2 linked regions of the Saccharomyces cerevisiae S288C genome follow. The gene in region 1 interacts genetically with each later gene. Each region holds a gene or a part of one and is shown in the gene's direction. Other genes may lie near its edges.

Region 1 (3,316 bases):
TGAAAAACATGTCACAACGATCCATGGACGTGGAGAAGAAGGCAGCTAACGCTGATAGTTGTTCCGTAAGTACCTCGAGCATTAATGTAGACGATGCGGACGTTGCTTTAAGATTCCTGAAACAGAACGGTCTCGACGAAAGCTCCACGGCTAATGAAGACGATGTTGTAGCAGGCGAAGAAGCCAACTTCTATGGTTCCCATGAATTATCTCCTAAGGTCCTGAGAAAAGTTGACCTCTTCATCCTGCCCTTTTTATGCTGTACATATCTTCTGATGTTTTTGGATAAGGCTCTGCTGAACTACGCTGCATCTATGGGTATCAAAGATCATTTGAAAGGTAACGAATTTTCTAATTTGGGTACTATCTTTTCTGCTGCTTACATTTTCATGGAACCTGTGGTCACTTACTTAATTCAAAAATTCCCCATTTCCAAAATCCTAGGTACTTTTATTACCGTCTGGGGTATCGTGTTGGCTTGCCATGCTGCTTGTAAGACGTACGCCTCGTTGATGGTCGTTCGTACTCTCCTAGGTCTCTTTGAATCCTCGAGTGCAGTTGGTTGTATCGCTATTAGTGGTATGTACTATACTAAATCTGAACAGAGTGCAAGAATTGGATTCTGGGCCACACAGGCTGGTACAGGTTATATTGTGGGCGGGTTAATTTCTTTTGGCTTTTTACATTATCATGGTACCGCTTTCACCTCTTGGCAAATAATGTTTTTGGTCGTTGGTCTGGTTACAGTTGCGTTTGGTGTTCTAACATTCTTATACCTTCCAGATAACGTCACCAATGCTTGGTTCCTAAACAAAGAGGAAAAAATTCAAGTTGTTGAGCATATCAGAGCTAACCAAACTGGCCTGGAAACAAAGAAGTTTAAGAAGCAGCAAGTTAAAGAACTATTCCTTCATGATAAGTTTACTTGGCCGATGCTTTTATTAACTGCATGTTCTCAAATTTCTACTGGTGCCATTGGTACATTTTCAGTGACCATCACTGGTACTTTTGGTTTCGACAAGTACGAAACAGCATTACTGCAGTTGCCTATTGGTGCCATTACGGCTATGATTATTCTTATAACAACTCAAATGTTGTCCCGCTGGGGTCATATCACACTCATAACCACATCTATGTATATTCCAGCTATTATAGGTTGTATCGTTCTTATCAGTTTACCCTTATCCCATAAGATCGGTAACTTATTTTCTCTGTACTTGCTTTACAGTGGTTCCTGTGTCATTACCAATATTTACATCTGGAATTCATGCAACACCTCCGGTTACACCAAAAGAGTTTTTAGAAATGCTATTACAATGATTGTATACAATGTCTCCTGTATTATTGCTCCACAGATGTTTAGGGCATACTCTGCTCCACGTTACATACCAGCAAAGATTGCCTTATTGGTCACTCAGTGTGTTTGTGTTCCCCTACAATTATACATTGGCTACATTTGCAAGAAGGAGAACGAAAAGCGTGATAAGGAACAAGAAGGTCAAGAAAGGAAGAAGTACCAATTTTTGGACTTGACTGATATCGAAAACAGAAATTTCAGGTACATTTACTAATAATCAACTTTTAATTTACAATATATAATATTTTTAGTCTGTAATATTCAATATTCAAAGACACCCAAACATTCATTGCACTTGGTATTTACCAAAAAATTGAAGAGAAAATTTTTGAGATGACCATGGATGAGGCAATGAAAGTCGAAATTTGATCCCCGCTACTAACTTCTAAACATATCGTCAGGACAATTGAGCTGAAAATGTCTAATCCAGATGATTTAGATGATGGACTCGCCTATGATTTTGATGCCGAACATGAAGTAATTTTTGACGCCAAGGATGGTAGTCCCCCAACCAAAAAGGTACAAAAGAGGTCTATAGAACAAGATGACGATGACGTTGATGATATAGATGGGAAAAAAGAGGAGAGAAATTCAGAAGATGATTCGAATAGACCTATTTCGAAAAGACAGAAAAAGCTACAGAAAAAATCAAAGCTAATTGAGAAAAAGAAAGAGGAAAGCCAGTATATCGTCTCACAACGAAAAGCACTTCCAGCAAGTTCACCAGAAAAAATTATTGAGTACCTAACAACTTTGATACGAGAAAAAAATCCTGACTTGAGTGTTTTAGAATTAGAGGAACTTTACTTCAAAAGAAATGATTTTCTTTCGACAGAAAAATTTGACGCTGAACGCAGATTAAGCAATTTCCCAGCCTTTATTCAAAAATTTTCCGTAGCTCCAAAAAAAATTGTTTTTTCTATGTCTAATATTAGAGTAGCAGACGTTTATCGTAGTCTAAACGGTGGCAAAAATTGCGTCAAATTATTCTCTAAAAGTAAACTAAAGGATGACATAGCCACCGTGGAACGTTTACTTACTGACAGCTCTAAAAAATCAAACAAAAATAAAGATTCACTATATTTTATTGCCACTCCAACAAGAATGCAGAAAATTATAGAAGCTACTGACTTACTTTTCCAAGGTAAGGAAAAGTTAGATATCATTCTTGATGCAAGTTATTTAGATCCTAAGGATAATACTATATTATCATTCGAGAATGCAGCCGTCCTCTGCCAAGTCTTGAAAACCTTTTTGAATAAAAAAAGCTCCGTGAAAATACTGTTATATTAATAATAGCGCTTTTTCACTGAGGTTCTACACATAAGATTACGTTTTTAAATACCAGCCTTAATTTAGTATATTAAATATTTCATTCTAGCATTTGATGGGGTACTTCAAATTATCTTCTTTAAATTGTCCAAAGCCCTTCCAAAAAGTAAAATCAAAGGAGAAACTTCGAGAACGCCTAGGCGCGCAGCAAACTCCATATATAACAATGTATTTTTTCTTTAACTACATAAAACCAATTTATCCTATTTTACTCTTTCCATGGAGTGTATGCTTTTTTGTAGTTACTTAGATTCAGAAATTCAATGTCTTCCCTCATTTTCTTCACCGTAGAGTAGACCATGGGACGTCGTTTTACTTTAGTTTTTGAATTTTTTCAGCGATGCCCGAAAACTGAAAATTTTATCTCATCTCATTCACCTGCCTGCCATATATAGTATTTTCATGGTATAAACTTGGCATTTTATGTCTTCAATCATAAGAGTATAATTCCGGGATAAAAGCTGGAGATATCATAGTAATAATGGCTAAGAGAAATAGATCTCAATTTCGCATTCAGGAAAGGACTGCAAAGAAAAGAAAGCACGAAGATTCCTTGTTAGAAGGCAATGTTTTCCAAAATGCACCGGAAGATATGGATGAAAATACCATATATAGCGCAAAAGGCTC
Region 2 (3,299 bases), on another chromosome or scaffold:
TCCATCCAATACCATTACCGGGGATGCTAAACTTTATCAATATCTATCTGGTGCACTAAACACTCAAGATACCTCAGATGCCAATAATAGAAGGACCGGAGTTATTGTCGGTTCTACGGTTGGAGTTGTCATTGGAGTTGTAATAGTAATTTTTATCGGATTCATAATTATTAGAAACAGACGAAACGTGAAAAATCACAGCAAAAAGGGCTTTAGCCATGATATTGGCAAGAGGGTAAGTTGTGATGAGGTAACAGAAACAGAAGCACCGTCAAATCCGTTCCTAAATGTCCTTAATTATAAAGTAACAACCAACGGCGAGGGCAAACGAGATTCCTTTGAAAATGGTAGAGATTTACACAGAGCTAGTTCCTCAGACGGTATATATATAGCACATCCTTATTATGGGATGGCGGATCACGAATCCGGGAGATTTTCATACGTATCGTCATACAATGAATCTGCGGAGTCATCCATTGAAGAAACAAGTTCCAGTGCGTCTACTATTACTCGGCCAAATATTCAGCAAACCAATAGCTTTTTGAGAGAAATTATTTAAAAATAGAAAAAAGTGGATTCCAAGATTTTCGTACTTCTAAACAAGGCTGGTACTTGTTGCTATTTCTTTGGAATTATTTGTAAATTTATGCACGAAGCAGATAGAGTTTTATTTATTCAACAGTATTTATATAATAAATATTGATCTTACTATACAACTAGATTCGTATAATCGTCTGTTTCGTCACAGACGGGAAAAGAGGGACAAAAAGAGAAAATGTTAAAAATATTATGGCCTATTTTTTGGCGTTCTTCCTCTTTTGAGCACCTTTAGATTTGTTATCATTCTTTTTCGCATTGTCAACTTTCTCAGTCTTTTTACCGGCATTGGCAGCTTCTCTTTCTTCTTGAGCATAAAACTCCTTTAATCTTTTTTGCAAATCCCAGTTACTGTACCACAAACCAATTTGTAGGATGATAACACCGGCAAACATAACTAATAAAATTATGTTGGAGGAAGCAATAACTGCCAAACCCTGATTTTCCGTAACTTCTCCCCAATTATGGCTCACAGAACAGTCGATACCTGTTTTCACATTAGTGAGAAACACACAGATAGCCAACACGTACAACCCCAATGAACAATACTCAAACATCTGCAGTTCAGGGTTTGGCTTGAAAACCTTAATTGTACCACCAACTAAGCCAATACCGGCAACAACGCACAAAGTAACAATCACCGGCAATGGAGTCTCATGTAAAATTTGGTAATGTCTCAGTGCCAAATCGAAATGCTCTTGAGTAGAGTTAGGATTAAATAAAAGATGATAATCGTATGGCATGTTACTGAAGAAAACACCCATTAGGAACGTTGTGGCCGATAAGATCATGGCCGTACCGATAGAACAGAAATCTGAATATGAGAACATCGTTAGAGTTTTATCGTATCACGGGATTTTATGCTCTGTAGTCCAATGAATTTACGGCTGTCTTCCAAAATACTTAAATCTGTCCTTTCATCAACTTTTTATATTTTTCAGAGTTTTTACACAACCCGAAAAAATTGTTATCGTGTATTAATTTTAGTACATTATAAAAAAAGATGGAGAGGGAAAGAGCCACCAATTACATTGGCGAAAGGTGATGGTGTAAAGTAACGGCAACCAAAAACAATTATGGATGGAAAACTTGGTATGAGAGTACTATTATTACGAACTCCACATTAACTCGATTCACCAAGTCCTTTCCCCATACGTTTACCCGGCATTCCTGAAAATTTTCTAAGATTTTTTTCTTCTTAATCGATGAGCTTAAAAGGTTTTCTGAGAAAATGAGAAAGTAATCTAATGTAGAGGACAGGATAGAGATTGAAGACGTCTACAGCTAAAATGGGGTCCGAGGAAGATAAAAAGTTGACCAAGAAGCAGCTCAAAGCTCAGCAGTTTAGAAAAAGTAAGGAGGAAAAAGATCAAGAGAAAGACGTAAAAAAAGAGCAAGCACCAGAAGGAAAAAGACCCAACAGTGCAGCCGGAAATGATGGTGAAGAACCCGTGAAGAAAAAAAGAAAAACACGTAGAGGCCGTGGTGGTAAGGGCAAAAATGGTAAAAAGGGCAACAGATTTATTGTCTTTGTCGGTAGCTTACCTAGAGACATCACTGCTGTTGAATTGCAAAACCATTTTAAAAATAGTTCACCCGACCAGATCCGCCTCAGAGCTGACAAAGGTATTGCATTTTTGGAATTCGATGCTGACAAAGATCGCACCGGCATTCAAAGACGTATGGACATTGCCTTATTACAACATGGGACCTTACTGAAAGAGAAGAAGATCAATGTCGAGCTAACTGTTGGCGGAGGTGGTAACAGTCAAGAGCGTCTAGAAAAATTGAAAAACAAAAACATCAAGTTGGATGAAGAACGTAAAGAGAGGTTGACAAAGATGATTAACGACGGCAACCAAAAGAAAATCGCCAAAACTACCGCCACTGCAGCTCAAACCTCTGGAACAGACAACAAGCCTGTTCCTGCAGGAATTCATCCTGATAGAGCCAAACTACTTAAATGAGTACAAATTTAATTTTATACGCCATGTATCTTAGACAAAAAGAAAATAAAGGGAAAAACATAAATAATCGTGCAGAATCATGCTACTGCCAAAAAAAGAAATGGCAAAGATGCCCAATACGTAAACTCTTCCGGAAGCAATAGCGCCGCATTATTACCGCTGCTCTATTTCACTTTATCATGAAAGACGAGACGGCTGGTACTTTTTTTTCCCCAAATCGGAGCTACTTTTCCGCACTTCAAGTCCGGTGGGAATTTTTACTACTACCCCTTAATCAATGCACTCCCCCCGCAATGACGTACAGGGGTAACATGTCTAACATTTAAGGTTACGGCTGTTAGCATATTGGGGGTTATTTGAATTATAGGAACGCCAAGAAAAAGGACAGAGGGTAAAAACATTCTCGGTGCTGCCGGATTGCTTATTAAGACGTATCCGTTAAACAATCTCCGCTTTTTTTTTTGTCTAACAGCCGGCTCTCTTTGGCTAGTCTCCATCCCTTCGTCACCTTCGGCTGTGGTCACACAATAAGGAAAGGTGCAAAAAAAAAAAATAAATACGAAAATCTGGAAATTGAATTCTTTTCATTAACATTCATTCACTCACTGAACTTATTGTCAATCGGAACATATTTCCTTGCCTTTATGAATTTTTGAAAAGAAAAAAGTTAATAGGAAAAACTAGATAGATTGCAAAAACGTTCACAATAGCGTACGTAATCCTTTTACTTATCAT

The links.
Region 2: mutations in CMS1 (region 1) and NOP6 together harm fitness more than expected from each alone (negative genetic interaction), as found in Saccharomyces cerevisiae (2 studies listed by BioGRID).

The regions. Positions count from the first base shown.
Region 1 is NC_001144.5:156,189-159,504, reverse strand, and holds CMS1 (Cms1p), read left to right. Parts: upstream 1-1,774; coding exon 1,775-2,650; downstream 2,651-3,316. Other genes in the region: THI73 (Thi73p), read left to right, coding at 1-1,571; NOC3 (Noc3p), read left to right, coding at 3,171-3,316. UniProt on the Saccharomyces cerevisiae protein: May play a role in the regulation of DNA replication and cell cycle control.
Region 2 is NC_001136.10:76,554-79,852, reverse strand, and holds NOP6 (Nop6p), read left to right. Parts: upstream 1-1,886; coding exon 1,887-2,564; downstream 2,565-3,299. Other genes in the region: YDL211C (uncharacterized protein), read left to right, coding at 1-559; SHR3 (Shr3p), read right to left, coding at 795-1,427. UniProt on the Saccharomyces cerevisiae protein: Predicted to be involved in rRNA processing.